Linked DNA regions of Oryctolagus cuniculus. The main gene of each other region encodes a partner of the protein of the gene in region 3 in a complex. Links are inferred from orthologs where the notes say so. Each region holds a gene or a part of one and is shown on either strand. Other genes may lie near its edges. The genes, in order: RICTOR, MLST8 and MAPKAP1.

Region 1 (5,909 bases), on a different chromosome or scaffold from region 3:
CCAAGTAGGAAGCACAGCACTAACACTAGTACCAGAATCAAAGAACCTTAGAACACCAGCAGGCCCCAAGAAGCTCGTAAGACTAGCCTAGTCAGCTTAAGAAATTTTCTGAAGTCACAGAAAAATTCTAAGATTCTATAAAATAAAGTATCACATTTCATCTTAAGTGCATATAACGGGTTGTACTTCATTAGACTTAATTTACTGGCAATCTTTATTTTTTAAAAAAAGAGTTCTCTTTTTATAGTCATTACACTCAGGACCTCTACTTCAGATAAACTATACTTAATTAGTACAATACAAGGTCTCAACAAAAGGAAGCTTGAATACCAAAATCCTTACTTCTTATTAACATGTACATACTCTAAACAATTATTTGAAATATCTCCAATGTGATTTAAGAATCTTGATTTGACATGGTAGGAAAGTTGCTAATATGACAAAGTACCTGATCCTGTACTGAGTACTATAAGAACTACCTCATTTATTTCTCAGATTCTCAATAATCCTTTGAGGTTACCTCTTCTTTTTGAGATGAAGAAAGGAGGGGTTAAGCAAGGTCAAATAAGTTGCGCCAAATCACCCACCTCCTAAATATCACAGCTGAGATTACAACCCAGAATTATTTGACTTCATAGTTAGCTCTTTTTCATCACACACTAATGGCTCCCTTAGGGGTTACAATGATTTTAACTTCTATTTTATAAAGAACTTTGTTAGATATCTATACAATAAACCTCTCAAAGATTACATGAAAATAATTAGAGTAAGAGAAAACGGCGCCTTGACATTAATCAAAAAGTTATTTGGTTGCCTGAACTTTATCTTTTTTACATACTGTAATTCAATCCACAAACAGCTGCCCTTCAGCTGTAACCCAGACTGCCTCACAGTTCTCAAATCATTACTAAAGTTTAATTCCTCATGAACTTTCTTCAAGTTAGATCCACAAGCCTTTTTTGAACAATGAAACGTCTGTCAGAATAATAGTTTCTTTAAACAGTGTTGCTATAAAATGAATCTAACTCAGATTTTCTTTATTATAAACTTCCTTATGATTCAGGAATAGAGTTCTCATGTAACCTCTCACTCATAGTTGTAAATCACTTGTGAAATTGGTTTCAACTGGCTGTGTACATGTATTCCAAACTGAAATACATTTTGTCAGGGCAAACAAACAGTAGTCTCTGTATTATTTTTATATAATCCTGGAAATGCTTATGAACAGTTATTTATAAAATAAATTATTAGAGAATATAGCATTTTAAATAATAAACATACAGAGCTACATGTGTACCTGAGTAAAACTAGAGTAAACCCAAGGTATCCAAATTTATATCTGAGCTTTTATACAACCAAAATTTTTGATATCAGAAAAACAATGAAATACAAATATAGCTCAACAAATTCAATAAATTCAACAAAATTTAAGGTACAACTAAAATTTATTTCTAGCATGCCCAAGTAGGTTTTTAATGCACAAATTGACCTCAAGTTTACCTAGTATGTACTTTTCACCTCCCTCTAAAAACACACATGCTTGTGTGTGTGTGTGTGTACACAAATCTCTAATAAACTACATCTGTTATTTAACTCAAAATGCTAAATTTCAGGCCTGTTAAGAATGACCCTTATTTTTGTTCACAGGTTTCCTTGAAAACAGCAAACATTTCATACAAATTTTTTCCCTATGTCTGTCATATAGAGTTTTCAAACTACTGCACAAAAGCCGAAAGGCTGACGACATGTTTCTTCACTACTTTCTAACCTCTAAGCTGCTGAAAAACTGCTCCAAAGCAGTGCACTGGTGATCGTAATCAGTGCCATTTTTAGTACTCAAGCCCTACTATATTGTATTTTTGAAACTCTCTTGCCTACCAAAGTTCACGAAAACTCCGTCCTTGAAGTTGCAGAATAAAACACGGTTACAAAAATACACTCTCGTAGCTCCATGAAAACCGGCCTTCCAGTTTACAAAGGCTACCTCCCATCAGGACATACAGAACAAATCATACTACGCTTTAATTCAGCGATGATCCTCAACACCAAGCCCACGTCCACCATAAATACGTGGAGAGCGATTGTTACGTCAAGAACATAGGGTTAAGTAGCACATCGACCGCGTATCGACTGTTTACGACGACTTCAACTTCCTACAGCGCTTTACAGAGCTCAACAAGCAACTGATGCTATGCAGCTGAACCACGTTACACCACAAGCTACAGCTGGTACGCAACGGGACTTGGCGCGAACCAGCAGACCAAATCCTGTTTATCGTGCAGCAGAAAAGAACCTCGTCGCAAGTACCCAATCACGCAATCTTCGGCAAGACAAGGTGGAATAAAACCCCACTACGGTCCCGTCCCTGCTATGGAGAATACGGAGTGGAGCCGGAGCCGGTCCTTCAAAAGAGAAGCCAGGGTCACTCAGTTCCCAAGGTGTAAACAAACCCGTCGCCACTGCAGGAGGTAAACAATGAACCTGCAGCAGGGCGAGGGGGCGGTCTTCGGCGAAGCACGGTCCCAGCGGCCCGGGAAACAGAAACAGAAGGAAAACACGGCGGAAACCAGCCACGCAGCAGTCCTGACCGGCTCCAGGGCTCAGCACCGAGCTACCGATGCTGGCGGTCCCCACAGGACGCGGGGCAAAGAGAAAAAAAAAAAAAAAAAGGCAGGCACGCAGTGAGCAAAAAAGCCAGCAGGTCCGGCTTCTGCGCCGGGAGACGGGGAGGGCAGGATGTGGTCGCTCTTCCCTCAAACATCCTCCTGCAACCCAAATAACAACCTCCACCTCCCTCCGGCCGGCCCCGGGAGCCGGCGGCACGAGCTTCGGCACGGGTGGAAGCCGCTGCCCCCGGGGGCCACCGAGCCCAGGGGTCGCCGGCTCCGCCAGTTCCGCTCGCGGCTCCCCAGCCGCCCCCCCCCCCCGCGGCAGCCCGAGGCCCCCAGAGAAGGGTTCAGGCAGAGTGAAGCGGGCACCGGGAAGGGGGATGGGTTCAGCGAGGCGGCCTGGCGGGGCTCCCGCGGGCCGGCAGGCGGGGCTCGGGCTGCGCCCCCCGTCCCCGTCGCGGGTCCCGTGCGAGGCCCGCCCCGGCCCCAGCTCCTCCCCAGCAGCGCGCCCTCGCCGGCGCTCTCGGCGCCCCGCGTTACCTCGGGTCAGATCCAGCGGGACGTTCTCCTCGCCGCTGTCATTCCGCCCTGCGCGAAACAGACACACAGCCCCAATTAGGATTCGCTCGCAGGCCAGCGGCGGCTGCCCAGGCTCCGGCCAGCGCCCCCGCTCCGCTCCCCCGACCCAGGGCCAGGGGAAGGCAAGTGCCAGGGGTGGCGGGCGCCGAGAGGTGAGGAGTGAGGGCTGCAGCGCGCTTACCTCGTATTCGGAGGTTCTTCAGAGAGCGGCCGCGGCCGATCGCCGCCATATTGACGGGTTTCAGTCACAACACCGGAAACCTCGCCCAATCGCGCGAGAACCCCTTCCCCTCCCCGCGCGCCGCGCCCGCCCCCCGCGGCATCGCCCCCGCCCCCTCGGCGGCGGGTGGTGCCGGCTGCGCTCCGGCCGCGGAGGGAGCGCCGCGTCCACCCGGGGTCCGGGAGGAGGAGCTCGTGGCGTCCGCCCGCCCCGGCCCAGGGAGGCGAGGCGAGCGAGCGGCTGGGCCGTCGGAGGGCAAGTCCTCCGGGAGGGGACGTTTCCCACGCGGGGAGTCCCATTGATGGAGTTGGCGGCGTGGAGGATGCTTCTCCTCCGGCCGCCGCGGACACCAGGCGTCCGAGCCGAGCGAGGGGCGCAGGGGCAGAGGAGGGCGGCTGCGGCCGAGCGGCCACCTGCTCGGAGCGCGTGCTGCCGCCGGCTTAGCCCTGGAATCCGCGGCCGCGCTCAGACGAGCGTGCGGAGCGGCGCCCCGCGCAGTGTAGACTCCCGTAAATCCCGCGCTGCGAGAAGAGACTCGCTTTTCCCTGACCAAGTTAACGCGTCGCTGAGTTCTGTTCCTAGCCGTGCCACGCTCAGCTCTGGGGGGTGGGCAGAGTCGGGGCGGCGGGGTAGTGGAGTTGGAGCCCACCTGGCCGAGGTGGCGGGAGGGCCCCGGCCCGGGAGCGGAGTGCGCCCCGCGCGCCCCGCGCAGGCCCCGGGACGCGGTTTCCTCTCTGCGGGGGCCGAGAGCGGAGTCCCGGCTTGTGTCTGCAACTCCCGGAACGGTGGCAGATGGGGCGGTTGTGAAGGCGTATTTCTGTACACAAATCGAGCAGTTGGGAAGGACAGGAGTTTTAATTCGGGCGAGTGTTCTTTGATACCCTAATAGACACATCTGACCCCTGATGCAGCAACTTCCTCTGGGACCAGATGGACTCTAAAGAGGATGAGCTCTCTCGCTCTTGGTCCTCGACTCGTCTTCTAACTCCCTAGAGACTGAACGTGGGGCTCTATACCCTTAACCCCTTCTCTTTCTCAGCTGCCAGGAAATACAACCTCTACCCTAAAAAGAAATGTTGGAGTTTTTTGGTTTTTTTTTTTTTTTTTTTTTTTGCTGTTGCTAATAATAGTGAACAAGTGGGACCACTTCAATGACCAAACTTGAGAGGTGTGTGAAGTGCAGCAGCCGTTTCAAAAAACGATACGAATCTAGTAGGTTAATAAGAAACAATGGTTCACATTATTGAGTCAAGCAAGAGGTTACAAATTTCCTGGTTTGGAAACTTCTGAAATACACACACATTAAAAGGATGCATCACAAAATGGATGTGTCCACAGATAGAAGTCTGAAAAGATAGACATCGGAATGCTGGTTGGTTTTCCTCCCTCAGTTGTGGAATTACGTATGCTCTGGATGTTTTAAATGTCCTATAGTGCATGTGTATTTCATTCATATATATATATATGTCACTTGTAAAGGTGCATTGTAAGAAAAGTAAAGTAGGAGCACGGCTTTCTTACATGCTACCCACCATCTATGTGTTTCAGGTGCTTTTCCTACTACGTGTGCATTCAAACAACGTGGTGCTGCTCATACTGCACTTCGATTTAAGGATGACCTTACTTTAAGTAAATTTGTCCTGCCAATAACAGTAATTTTAATAACAGGAACAGGGCCGGCGCCGCGGCTCACTAGGCTAATCCTCTGCCTAGCGGCGCCGGCACACCGGGTTCTAGTCCCGGTCGGGGCGCCGGATTCTGTCCCGGTTGCCCCTCTTCCAGGCCAGCCCTCTGCTGTGGCCAGGGAGTGCAGTGGAGGATGGCCCAGGTGCTTGGGCCCTGCACCCCATGGGAGACCAGGAAAAGCACCTGGTTCCTGGCTCCTGCCATCGGATCAGCGCGGTGCGCTGGCCGCAGCGCGCCGGCCGCGGCGGCCATTGGAGGGTGAACCAACGGCAAAGGAAGACCTTTCTCTCTGTCTCTCTCTCTCACTGTCCACTCTGCCAGTCAAAAAAAAAAAAAAAAAAAAAAAAATAACAGGAACAAAGACTTGCCTTCACGTCTTGGTGCAAATTGCTCTACTTAGTGCACAGAACAAAAATCACAGAACTCGAGGTCTGGCCAGGACATTACAAGTTCTGTATTTCATCCCTTTATGTTTTACACTATTTCACCATTTTAGACAAAGTAGCCATGAAGAGCCTGCATCCTGTTATCTTTATAGCTATCCATGCCTACTTAAAGACCATTAGTCAATGACTCCACCTTTTAGAAGAAGAATCATCTTTCTTCAATTGTACAATGAAGCTAATTTTCCCTCTGTGACTATTCCACTCATTTGAGTGGTTAGGTTCTCCACATTGGCTCTTCAGAGGAAGTGCGTTCCTTGTAAAAAGAACAAGTTCTTAGTGTTTGCATATGGCACCCAACTGGGAAGCAGGAGTTTAGGTAAGATTTAGTAAGAAGCACATTTCACAATGTCATATTTGCTTTTGAAATAC
Region 2 (5,930 bases), on a different chromosome or scaffold from region 3:
TTTGCACCCAGCCCCCAGGTGCCCAGGGACGGCAGAAGCTCCGGTTTCAGAGAACAGAAAGCTCTGTCTTCCCCCTCGCGGGGCTGCTGACAAGAGCTGGGGGCGGGGCCTGGGCAGCTGGCCGCACCCCGACCCCTGGCCCACCAGAGCCTTCTCTGCAGGCCCAGGGGTCTTGCAGCCCCGGCCAGGATACCCACCGCAGCCAGGAGCTGCTGGCCGTGCTCGGGAGCCGTGCAGTGGACCCCGCCCAGGTCGGGGCTGCGGTGCAGCGCCTCTGTGCAGAGACCCCCATCTACTGGGCCCGGCGGGCAGAGGGTGAGTCGGCACGCGCTGTGCGAGGAGGGGCCGTGGCAGGGCCGGCCGGGCCCTCGGGACTCACGAGCCCCTCCCCCCAGGGCCCCAGAGGCAGCGGCTGATCTACCTTTGCATGGACATCTGCTTCCCAAGCCACATCTGCGTGTCCGTCTGCTTTTATTATCTCCCGGACTAAGCCCCTGGCCTGGCCAGCCCGGCCCCCGCCCCACGGGCCGCCGGCACCTCCCACCACGGAGGCCGCCTGGAATGCACCAATAAAGCTCCCACCTGGCAGTGCGGCCACTCTCCTCTGTGGCCTCGGGGCTTGAAAGGGGGCCTGGAGCGGGAGGGCGGGGAGGACTGGCTTGGGGGTGCGCACCAGCCCCCCGAGCCACCGGGCCCAGCTGTGAGGTGCAGCCTGCCTCAGGGGCCGCGGCGGAGAGCTGAGCGCCTCGGAGCAGCCTGGCAGCACCGAGCCACTGGGGGGTCCAGCCGGCCTGGGTGGGCAGAGGCGAGCCTGCGTGGTCTGCCACACAGCCGGCGGCCGTCCCCAGGAGGCACAGGCTAGCCCAGCACGCTGTCATTGAAGGCCAAGCAGACCACAGCTTTCTGGTGGCCGCCGTACTCTCTCTTAATCTCTCCAGTCTCCACACACCAGAGCCGGGCCAGGTTGTCAGAGGAAGCTGCGGGGAGGCAGGGGGGAGGCTCAGGCACAGCCCCAGCCTGGCCAGCCCGGCCCGAGGCAGGCCCGGCGGGGCGGGCGGCCAGCTCACCGGTGACGATGTACTGCGAGTCCCCGGAGAAGGCGCAGCCCCACATCCAGCCGCGGGACGACTCCCCGGGGTTGCCGCTCTTGATGCTGAGCTCCGTCATCAGGGAGAAGTTGGACGTCCTCCAGATCTTGCAGGTCTGGTCAGCCGAGCAGGTGGCCAGGAGCCTGGAGGGCAGGAGGCGCACGGGGCGTGTCACCCGGCCGCCCTTCCCGCCCGGGCCCCCTGCCATGCACCAGGTGGGCCCGACGGCCCGCAGCCCGCAGGCGGCACGCACGTGGAGTCGGGGCTGAAGCGGCACTGCAGGGCGTAGCGCGTGTGCGCTGGGATCTTGGTCTTGGGGATGAGCTGGGTCACCTCGTCACCGATGCCCCCCGTCAGGTTCCACACGTAGCAGTTTCCCTAGGGAAGTCACAGGAAGCAGAATGAAGCGCACCCTGGAGGCTGAGCCCGGAGCCAGGACCCACCCTGGGGGCCAGCTGCGCACGGGGACCTCGGCCGGGGGTGCGGGTGAGCGGGAGGCCACCCTGGGGACCGTCCGCACACGGGGACCTCGGCCGGGGGTGCGGGTGAGCGGGAGGCCACCCTGGGGGCCATCTGCGCACGGGGACCTCGGCCGGGGGTGCGGGTGAGCTTGAGGCCACCCTGGGGGCCGTCCGCGCACGGGGACCTCGGCCGGGGGTGTGGGTGAACGGGAGGCCACCCTGGGGGCCGTCCATGCACGGGGACCTCGGCCGGGGGTGCGGGTGAACGGGAGGCCACCCTGGGGGCTGTCCGCGCACGGGGACCTCGGCCGGGGGTGCGGGTGAACGGGAGGCCACCCTGGGGGCTGTCCGCGCACGGGGACCTCGGCCGGGGTTGTGGGTGAGTGGGAGGCTCACACGCAACCTCCTTAAGGATGCCACTGGCCTGCAGGCAGGAGGCCAGGAGGAGGGAGGTCTGGGGACACAGGGCTGGGGTCTCCACGAAGCAAAGGGAGCAGAGGAGGCCGGCGAGCCCAGCAGGGCCAGGGCCTTGCTCCTGGCGCCCACGGGGGTGGCTGGGGAGCCAGCGGCTCTCGGGGAAGTGGCCAGACTTGGGCGGTCCTGGGCTGTGGCGGCTGAGTGGGCGGCAGGGCCCGGGACGGGGAGCTGGGCTGCCCCAGCCGCCACCCGCAGCGGACTCACGGTGCTGTTGACGGCGGCCATGTAGCTGGCGTCGGGGTCGATGTGGGCAGATGTGATGGAGACCTCGGGCTCGGGGATCAGCTGCTCGTTGTGGTCCGTCTTCAGGTCCCAGATGTGTATAGCGCCGCTCTGGTCGCCCACGATGAGCTCCGCCTGCAGGGAAGGGCAGGGCAGGGCAGGGCAGGTGAGGCCGGGCGGGACCCCTGCCCTGCAGGCCCGGGAGCCCGCCGGCAGCCGCTCCTCACCTGGTTGGGGTGCAGGCACACGCAGTTAATGGGCGCGTTCACCTGGAAGATCCGCTGGCACTGCAGGTTCCGGGACCTGCGGGGTGGGGCGCGCACACGTCAGCCGATGGCCGCGGCCTGAGAGGACTAAAAGGCGCCCCCTAGGGCTGGGGTTGCGGCCAGCGACTGAAGCTCCCCCTGCGGTGCCGGAACACTGCTTCGAGCCCAGGCCGCTCCCTGCCAGTGCCTCTGGGAGACCAGGATGGAGCTCCTGACTCCAGGCGCTGGCCTGCTCAGGCCCAGCTGCAGCCATGTGGGGCGGAGCCAGTGGATGGACGCTGCCTCTCCCCCTCTGTGTCACTGTGCCTTTCAGACACAAAAAGCTAAGAAAACAAAAAGCCGGCCCCTTGGACGCAAGGCAGTGATGCAATCCACCGATTCCGTTTTCCCCACTTCCCCTCAGCTGCACAGAACACCGGCTCGGGCTCTGCGCGCTCTCCGGGCCTCGCCCCTCTCAGGCTGTGCCTGGTCTCCGGGCCTCGCCCCTCTCGGGCTGTGCCTGGTCTCCAGGCCTCGCCCCTCTCGGGCTCTGCACACACTCGGGGCCTCGCCCCCGCCCCGCACCTGAGGTCCCAGATCCGGGCCGTGCAGTCCTCTCCACCCGTGTACATCCAGCGGCCATCCTCGTGGAAGCCCACCGACGCGATGTTCTTGTTGACCCCGTCGTAGCTGATGATGGGGTTGGGGTTATTGGAGTTGAGGTCATACATGCGGATGTGCTGGTACCCTGGGGACGCGAGCAGAACTCGAGTGCGCCTGTGCCCGGGGAGGACCCGCGGGAGTCAGGGTCAGAGGTCAGGGGTCCCAGTACCTGCAGCGGCGATCATGCTGCGGTCGGGCGTGATCTCCAGCGCGTTCACCTGCTGGTTCTGTCAAGGAGGCTGCACAGCTGGCCAGAGCTGCTTTGGGCTTCCCACCCCGCCCGGCCACCCTCTCCCCCTCCGCGGGGATACAGAGTCCTGGTGCTGCACCGTGCGGGTGCAGATCCCGCTGTGGGCCTGCCAGAACCGCACCGTGTGGTCATAGCCGGCGGTGGCCAAGATGACGGGGTCGCTGCCCACCGTGCCTGGGGAGGTGTTCATGGCGGGGCCTGCGCGGGCCCGAGGGCTGAAGGCTGGCGCCAAGGGTCAGAGCATCTGAGGGCACACACGGCAAGCACTCAGGGCATGCCCACGCGTGCTGAGCGGGTGACGGGCCCGCGCGGCGCGTTCCCACCTGGGAGATGGGGACGCGCGCCGCGCTCCCCGCCGCACGAGCACGGCTGGGACGCCATCCCGCCTGGGGCCGGCAGGGGGCAGTCACGCCCAGGGCGTCGCTCTGCCGCAGGGGCGGGCTGCGCGTGCGCAGGGCGGAGGGCGAGCCGGGGTGGGGGGGAGCCGAGCGCTGCGGCTGCGCATGCGTAGCAGGCGGTGTCCGGGTCCGATGGCGGTGGGGGAGCAGTCCGGTCGGACCCCGGCTGCCCCGTGCCCCGTCGGCCGCCGTGGGCCCGTCCTGCCGGCTCCTTCTCCCCAGCCACGCTCTCCCGGCCACCCAGAAGCCGCTTCCCAGGCCTCGCCACGGCCTCCGTACCTTACATGCGGCTCCGCACTCCTCCGTGCTCCAGGACGGCGAGGGGAGTTGGAGCGAATCGATCGAGGCCAAGGCCGAGCGTAGAGTTATCGATGGGCACTTGAGGCGAGACCATGGAGCCCGGTGGCGCGGGGGGGGCGGTGGAGGTGGGTGGGGACGAGACCAAAGTCCTGGGGCGGGGGAGTCCCTTTGAGCGCAGCGGCGCCCGGCGCTCTGAAGGCGGCGCCTGTCCCAGCTTGGGCCCAGGGGACAGTCGCGTCCCCATGCCCTCCGCCGCGCAGGCTGGGACGAGTAGTTTTTCTGTTGGTGAGGCTTGCTTAGGCATGGACGTGTTATTAAACGAGAGTAAAATGTGCCAGGGCATCCGTGGTTCTGCTCGCCTCGTCCTGGCCTTGCAGACCTGTCCAGTCCTCAGCCGAGGAGCCCCCTCCGCCGGCTTCTCCGTCCCTAGCCTCTGCACTGCTGGCTCCATGACACCTGTGTCCGCTCTAGCCTCGGAGCGGGTGTAGACGGATCGCCGTCCCCTCCAGGCTCAGAGCAGGTGTATGTGGCTCCAGTCCCCCCCATCCCCAGGAATCTTCCTTCTTGTACCTTCCCTGCCTCCTTCCTACCCCTAGCCTTTTAAAATCTGTAATTAATTGAAGTTTTTATTAATCAATTAAAGAGAGAGTACTCGCATTCCACAACGGCCTTGGGTGAGCCGAGCTGGAGCTGGGAGCCGAGGACGTGATCGGGATCCCCCACCCGCGGGGTGCTGGGACCTAGGCGGTGGAGCCGTCCCAGGCTGTGCGGCGGCAGGAGGCTGCACCGCGAGCCGCACAAGGCCTGAGACCCCGGCGCTTGGACGCAAGGTGTGAGCTCATCCCTCGGCTCCACGGCCAGGCCAGGGTCCGTCCTGCGCCCTGAGCCTGTGAACACCATACAGCAACCCCAGAACCCTCTGCTGCAGACAGCTCCAGGCGGCCCCGTCACTTCTCAACTCCATCCTGTCTGCCTTGTGTCCCACAGCTCTCAGAATCCCGCCAGGCTCTGCTGTCCCCTGGCTGACCACCCAGATACTTCCCCTCCCCTTCCTGGCTCTGCTCTGCGCTTGGCAGCACTGAGCCCGCAAGTGGGCATCACCTCTGTCCTTGCCCGGGCACCCAATCTCCCCTGGACGGACCAAGCCCCAGCGGCAGGGCTTCCCAAACCCCCCGAACCCCCCCCCCGCCCTGTCTGTCTCTCTCCAGCTCCTCCGAGCCTCCCTGCTGCGCGTTGGCTCTCAGATGCCCCCCAGACGCCAGCCCCTCCCCCAGCCCGGGCGGCCACCCCCCCGCCAGGCCCTGCGTGTCGCAGCTGGGTGGGACCCAGGCCACCTTCACTGCTGGCCTGGCCTCGGCTCTGCCTGGAGCCCACCCCCCACCCCCACAACCTCGCCTGCCACAACACCCGCTTCTGCCCCCTCCTGGTTGCCCCCCACCTTGGAGAGGGTCTTTCAGAAACCCAGGTTTGGGGGCGGGTGCCGTGGTGCTCCTGGAGGTGCTGGCTCCCGCATCAGAGTGCCGCGGTTCCGGCTCCGGCTTCCTGCCAGTGCTCACCTGAGAGGCAGCAGGTGGTGGCCCAAGTCCTGGGGCCCCTGCACCCGCACGGGAGACCCAGAAGCAGCTCCTGGCCCGCTGTCCAGCGATCACAGACATTCGAGAAGTGACCGGTGGGTGGTGTGCTGTGCTCTCCCCATAAATAAGTTTTAAAAATTCAGAAAGACTGTGAAGTGTATTATTTTTTAAATGTGTTCATTTGAAAGGCAGAGTTACCGGGGTAGGGGGTCGGGGGAGATCTTCCATCGCTGGTTCACTCTCCAAATGGCC
Region 3 (6,108 bases):
CACACCACAAAGAACAAGCAACATGGTGCAACCCTGAAGAGACAAATTCCAAAGCCAGCGGAAAATCCCTCCATCTCACTCCTCACCCAGCTGCACAGACCCGAGGAAGTTACTGAACCTCTCAGTGCCCAGTTCCTCACCTGTAAAGCTGGGATGCTGATAACACCTCCTCACACAAGAATACATGATAAAGCACTTACCGCAGTGCTGACGCAAGTGAGCACGACCAGCAGCGTGGCTCCGTGTGCTCACAGCACCTGTGGGGCCTCCACGCTCACCACCTACAGGACCTGCTACAGCTTCGCCTGCACACATTTCTCCACCGCAATGTCAACAACCTCAGGGGGGTGACCTGGTTTTACTCTTCTTCGTGTCCCCAGGGGACAACATTTGGCCTGACCCTGCTGAGTAAATCATACATCCTCACAGTATTTAATTGTGAAAGTTATGAGCAGAAACTAGAATTTCCAGGGCTGGTGTTGTAGTATCGTGAGTTAAATGGCCACCCACAACACTGGCACCCCACATGAGAGCACTGGCTGAAGTCCCAACTGCTCCACTCGGGACCCAGCTCCCTGCTAATGTGCCTGGGAAAACAGCAGAAGATGGCCCAAGTCCTTAGGCCCCTGCACCCATGTGGGAGACCCAGAAGAAGCTCCTGGCTCCTGGCTCCTGGCTTCAGCCTGGCCCAGCCCTGGCCATTTGGGGAGTGAACCAGCAGATGGAAGGTCTGTCTCTCCCTCTCTGTAACTCTTTCAAAGAAATAAATCATTTAGGAAAAAAAAAAGGGAAAAAAAAGCAAGACCACTAGAATTTCCCCCTCTTGCCTGGCACTCAATCTGCCAGACTCTGACCTCCACTGCCCCTCCCTTTACCCCAACACTCTGACCAAAGAGCTAACGGCTTGCTTTGCTCAGGCTGTGGCTCATCCGCACTCTAGAGCCACGTCACAGGCATTATTCCTCCAAATTTCACACCTGTCATCTTGGAGGCTTTGCCATGCACAAGTTGAATGTCTCTTATCCAAAATATTTGGGACCCAGGGCCGGCGCTATGGCATAGCAAGTAAAGCCACCGCCTGCAGTGCTGGCATCCCATATGGGTGCCGGTTCAAGTCCCAGCTGCTCCACTTCTGATCAAGCTCTCTGCTATGGCCTGGGAAAGTAGTAGAAGATGGCCCATGTGCTTGGGCCCCTGCACCTTCGTGGGAGACCTGGAGGAAGCTCCTGGCTCCTGGCTTCAGATAGGCACAGCTCCAGCCGTTGTGGCCAGCTGGGGAGTGAACCAGTAGATAGAAGACTTCTCTATCTCTCTGCCTCTCCTCTCTGAGTAACTCTGACTTTCAAATAAATAAATAAATCTTAAAAAAGATATTTGAGACCAGAACTATATAGGATTTTAATTTTTTCAGGTTTTGAAGTATTTCCATAGGCTTAATCCAAAATTCCAAAATTCCAAATACTCCAAAAACTGAAGCTTTTTGATAGTCATGTAGTGCTCAAAGTTTCTGCTCTTGGGGGTGGGTGTTTGGCTCGGTGGCTGGGACCCACTTGAGAAGCCCACATGTCAAGGCGCCTGGGGTCCCTACCCATTTCCAGCTCCTGACTCCCAGCTTCCTGCTGATGCAATCAGGACACAAGGGACTGGGTTCCTGCCATCCATGTGGGAGACCTTCACTGAGCTCCTGGCTCCTGATTTTTGCCCTGGCCCAGCCCCAGCCATTGCAGAAATTCGGAGAGTGGACCAGTGATTGGGAACTGTGTGTCCTTTTGCCTCTCAAAAAAAAAGAAATTAAAAAAGAAAATTTCAGATTTTAGATTTTTGGATCAGGGATGCTCAACCTACACCAGGCCCTTTATCCACAGTAGCTCACTACATATTCCGAACACCTGTGAGGTCAGTAGCATCCCTCATCCCTACGCCTAGTTGAGGAAAATGATGCCTAGGGTTAAGAAACTTGCCAAAGGTCACTTATCTAGTCAGAAGAGAGACCAGGAACTGAACACAGAGCCCATGCTAATTCTCTAGACTATCTTCTTTGCCCATATTCAAAGTTGAGGTGATCAGCTACTACCAACTTGCCTTGGAAGGCTGTGATACATTCAAATGATTCTTAGTACCATGCACTTTAATATTCATATTTTTTCCTTTGTATAGTTTCAGGATGTTCTTGATTAGATAGCTATGGGATGAGAAAGACGGCAAGCCAAGTAATGGAAAAGTACAGATTTAAGCATCAGAGAGATCTGGGTTTGACCATGGCTGTCTTGTATCAGTTACATCATTTATCCTAAGTCTTCCTAATCTATAAATTGAGGTTAAAATGATAAAACAAGAAAAACTGATATATAACATGCAATACATAAATACTGAATAAAGTATGCATTACAAAGCATCCCCTGGCCATATCCCACCCCTCAAAAGTGAACGACCAGTCCCCCTTCTGTACAAATGTATCACAAAAAGAACTCTGTACTGATCACTGTGTTGGAATTATAATTTCCTTATCTGTCTCACTAAGCTGAGCTCCCTGCAGGCCAGAACCCAGTCTGATGTATCTGCACACTGCTTAACACTGCCCCTGGCACACACCCATACTCAGTAACTGTTTGCCAAATGAAATAACTGTAAATACAACAATGAGTGCTTACAGGAGTCTAGAGAAATCATTTCTAGTTGGGGTTGTCCCAAACTGGGTGAGGGAGGCCAACTTCAGCTAGGCCAAGGGGCGTTTCTCGAGAGGACCACAGAAAAGGGGAAACCTTCTCACGCCCTGCCAAAGACAAAGGGCGACGTGAGAGCCTAGAGCAACGGATCCGAGTGGGGGCCTCTGCCCCGAGCCAGGTCGGGGGGCGCACAGGCACGAGTGTGGTCTGGCCCACAGTGGGAGGGAGAGGGGCTACCAGCACACGCCACAGGCCCAGAGAGCTCGCACGTGGGTACGCTGGAGAGGATGAAAACCATTATCACTTCATCAAGGGCGCCCCCGGCACCACGGGAGCACCCGGCGTGGGCTCTCAGCACCCGAGACTACAGCAGGGTGCCTCGTTAGCTGTCCTGGTGGGTTTTAACGCTGAAGATCCACCCCCGCCTGCCTGTCCAAACAGCACGAGAAGTCCGGCTTTTTCTAGCGGTGTACCGCCACTGGGTCACACCCGAGAAGTTTTCAACTTTGCTGACTTGGGTTTACAACAACATGATGCTTTCCACGGTGCCACTTCGGTGGGCTTCAAACAGCACTTGCGTTCATTCAGAATGCAGTTTTATCCGATTTCTGAGTCAATTTGGGGAAGGGGTGTCTCTGGTTAAAATACTACCCTTGTGTACACAATTTTTTTCTCCAACCTTAAACAGATCCAGAAGACTCCCACAAATAAAAAAAAAAAAAAAAAAAAAAAACCTGACCCAAAGTTGCAGCAGCACTCCAGCTAACAAAAACTCAGCGGGGCTGTTCATCCGTGCAGGGGGACGAGACAGGACCACGCACGCAACACCTGAAGAACTCGATGTTCACACTGTGAAGAGCGGGGCACCTACAGAAACCGCAGGAGCCACCTGCGCCCGCGCCCCCACCCCACACGACGGGGTCCACACCCGGACGTCAGGCTCACGGCAGCCTCCGCTCCTGGAAGGGGCCAGGGAACGGCTGCCGCTGACCACCGGAGCAGGGGCCTGACGGGCGGCCCGCTGGGCAGGCAGCGCCGGGGATCCGAGCCGCCAGGCCCCGTGAGAGGCCGAGCGGGCCGGCCGGCGGGCAGGCGGGCGGGCAAGGGAGCTAGCGGCTGGGGCAACCTTTACCTGAAGCTGCTTCCACACTACGGGCCGGGCTGGCCTTGGGAAACGTTCCTGAGAGGAGGGCCCGGCTCCCCCACGCCTCCCGGCCCCTGCCCCGACTCTGCACTCTCGGGATCCTCGGGGACCGGTGCTCCTCCCGGCCCTCTCAGCTGCCGTCGCCCGGACTAGCCCTCATGTCCCGGCTGCTCGCCGCCGCCGACCGGCCGAGCAGCAGCCCTGTTACCCCGAGCCGCGCCACGACCCGGAACCGCACCCCCGCGCACCGGAAGTCCCCGACCAGGAAGGCGCCTCTGGCTGGGGAACGCAGTGCGCAAGCTCGAGAGTCGAGAGCCACTTCCCGGGGGGCGGGGGGCCGTGCGCATGCGCGTTCTTCTCCGGGGTCGGTAGAGGCCTGGGTCCGAGCCTGGGAATCCCGGCGAGGTTCGCTCGCGCCCGGCTTTCCTGGGACGGAAATCGACGTCAGCGATCCCCGTGGAGCCCTCGTTCTTGCCACTTGCAAAGAGAAGAGCCCCCAGTTCATCCAGAAATGAGGAACGAGGCAGCCTAGCGCGTGTATCCGAAAGCCCTGGGTTCGAATGCCGCTGCTGACTTGCAGTGTACCCCTGGACACTGCAGCTGCCCCCTCGGAGCCTCGGCTTTCCCGTCCGTAGCAGCAGTTCCGGGATGACGGGATGGCTGTGAGAATCAAACGGGGTGAGGGGTGAGGGGCCGCACAGTGGCTGACGGCACGCACCCGCAGGAGGTGCCGCGACCTCCCTCATTGTGTGTAGTGCCCAGACGCGGGTCCGCGGCGAGGACGGCAGGGAGGCGCACGGGGTGCTGGGTGCTGGCACCGCACGGTCGGTGCGGGCGCGCCCTGCACCTGCCCTCCGTGGTTCCGGCGGGGACCTGTCGGGGGCGCTCTGGCCGGGTGGACAGAAAGGTTGGGTAGGTTCCCCCACTTCCCCCCAAACCTTTCTCTCGTTTTCTCTGCTTTCCTGGGCTCCAGTCTGAAACCCAGCTGCCTGAGCGTCCCTCCCACGGCCAAGACCTGTGTGAAATCGAAATCGACTGGACCTGCGGGTCGCTCATGGAGTCTAAAGACTGAACACTCTCTCCACTTAGGAGTTTTGTAGCTTCGTCTCTCCAAGCTACCTCTTTAAATTTCCTTATCTGTAGAATGGAAATCAAAAGTAACAGAGCCAGACCTTGTGCAACAGTAGGTTAAGCTGCAGCCTGCAATGCCAGTTCTCATATCAGGGTACTGGTTCATGTCCCGGCTGGTCCACTTCCCATCCAGCTTCCTGTTAATGCTCCTGGGAAAGCAGCACAGGATGGGCCAAGTACATGGACCCCTGCACCCACTTGGGATCCTGATGGAGTACCTGGCTCCTGGCTTTGGCCTGGCCCAGCCCCAACCATCATGGTCATTTGGAGAATGAACCAACGGATGGAAGATCTCTTTCTGTACTACCTATCTCTGTCACTCTAACTTTCAAATAAATACAATAGATCTTTTAAAAAAAAGACTGAAACAAAAAAGTCATAACCGTTGTGAGGACTGAATGAGCTAATACGTAGAACTCCATAGAATGCAGCCAAGCAGGTGGCTAATACTGAGTACTTACCACTGTTACTACACCTGTCAATAAGCAGGTACTTATGGGTGCCCAGCCTAGGCACTGGAGATTCGGTTGTAAAAAAGCCAGAGACTCTGCCCTCAAGAAGTTATTTGACTATGGGTTAAAATAATTCTGGGGTGGGCACTGTGTAGAAGCAGGTTAAGCCACCAACGGCAATGCCAGCATCTCATATTGGAGTCTGGGTAAAGATCTCAGCTGCCCCACTTGGGATCAAGCTTCATGCTAACGTGCCTGGGAAAGTAGCAGATGATGGCATGAGTGAGTCCCTCCCACCCATGTGGGAGACCCAGATAGAATTCATTTTGTAATACTAACTGATAGAATCAGAAAGGGAGACAACAATCCTACATGGGAAGCAGGATACACAGCAGACTCATAGAATGGCAGATGTCCTAAACAGCACTCTGGCCTCAGAATCAGCCCTTAAGGCATTCGGATCCGACTGAAGAGCCCATGAGAGTATTTTAGGCATGGAAAGCCAAGACACACTGGGGGAAAAAAAAAAAGAAGAAGAAGACCTAAATGAAAGATCTCTACGGGTGAGATCCCAGTGAAAAGAACGGGGCCATCAAAGAAGGAGGTACCTTTCTCTGAAGGGAGGAGAGAACTTCCACTTTGACTGTGACCCTGTTGGAATAAGATCGAAGTCGGCAAACCCAAAAGGCTTCCATAGCCTTGGCAACTCATGACT

The links.
Region 1: the proteins of MAPKAP1 (region 3) and RICTOR are in contact, whole or in part, in a cryo-EM structure (PDB 7PE7), measured with the Homo sapiens proteins. The link is inferred for Oryctolagus cuniculus from reciprocal best matches to the Homo sapiens genes MAPKAP1 and RICTOR. Residues at the interface, in NP_001006618.1 of Homo sapiens: Ala2, Phe3, Leu4, Asp5, Asn6, Pro7, Ile9, Ile10, Leu11, Ala12, His13, Ile14, Arg15, Gln16, Ser17, His18, Thr20, Ser21, Asp22, Asp23, Thr24, Met26, Cys27, Met29, Val30, Leu31, Ile32, Asp35, Val36, Ser84; in NP_689969.2 of Homo sapiens: Arg108, Gln137, Glu140, Thr144, Leu147, Arg148, Arg151, Lys152, Thr155, Arg182, Met183, Arg185, Ala186, Ala189, Cys192, Glu193, Leu196, Leu220, Arg222, Ile223, Glu225, Ala226, Leu227, Thr229, Thr230, His233, Asn236, Arg293, Trp295, Glu844.
Region 2: the proteins of MAPKAP1 (region 3) and MLST8 are in contact, whole or in part, in a cryo-EM structure (PDB 7PE8), measured with the Homo sapiens proteins. The link is inferred for Oryctolagus cuniculus from reciprocal best matches to the Homo sapiens genes MAPKAP1 and MLST8. Residues at the interface, in NP_001006618.1 of Homo sapiens: Lys102, Cys103, Lys104, Asn105, Ile106, Gln107, Trp108, Lys109, Arg111, Asn112, Ser113, Lys121, Leu123, Phe124, Glu125, Lys126, Lys127, Ser128, Leu129, Gly137, Lys138, Gln139, Ser140, Ile141, Leu142, Val144, Arg145, Leu146; in NP_001186102.1 of Homo sapiens: Ala29, His30, Pro77, Ile78, Ile79, Ser80, Tyr81, Asp82, Gly83, Arg98, Arg110, Ile111, Trp112, Gln120, Cys121, Gln122, Arg123, Ile124, Asn139, Gln140, Ala141, Leu157, Lys158, Ile203, Glu206, Ser279, Gly280, Asp281, Gln283, Asp322.

What each region holds. Positions count from the first base shown.
Region 1 is NC_091445.1:64,474,623-64,480,531, forward strand, and holds the start of RICTOR (rapamycin-insensitive companion of mTOR), read right to left. Parts: upstream 3,478-5,909; 5' UTR 3,419-3,477; coding exon 3,370-3,418; intron 3,198-3,369; coding exon 3,150-3,197; intron 2,016-3,149; exon of another isoform or gene 1,879-2,015; intron 1-1,878. UniProt on the Homo sapiens protein: Component of the mechanistic target of rapamycin complex 2 (mTORC2), which transduces signals from growth factors to pathways involved in proliferation, cytoskeletal organization, lipogenesis and anabolic output.
Region 2 is NC_091450.1:33,048,373-33,054,302, forward strand, and holds MLST8 (target of rapamycin complex subunit LST8), read right to left. Parts: upstream 4,214-5,930; 5' UTR 4,084-4,213; intron 3,651-4,083; 5' UTR 3,597-3,650; coding exon 3,468-3,596; intron 3,378-3,467; coding exon 3,326-3,377; intron 3,242-3,325; coding exon 3,079-3,241; intron 2,552-3,078; coding exon 2,476-2,551; intron 2,384-2,475; coding exon 2,231-2,383; intron 1,467-2,230; coding exon 1,342-1,466; intron 1,232-1,341; coding exon 1,068-1,231; intron 978-1,067; coding exon 859-977; 3' UTR 491-858; downstream 1-490. Other genes in the region: BRICD5 (BRICHOS domain-containing protein 5), read left to right, coding at 162-315, 396-490.
Region 3 is NC_091432.1:229,455,930-229,462,037, forward strand, and holds the start of MAPKAP1 (target of rapamycin complex 2 subunit MAPKAP1), read right to left. Parts: upstream 4,074-6,108; 5' UTR 3,799-4,073; intron 1-3,798. UniProt on the Homo sapiens protein: Component of the mechanistic target of rapamycin complex 2 (mTORC2), which transduces signals from growth factors to pathways involved in proliferation, cytoskeletal organization, lipogenesis and anabolic output.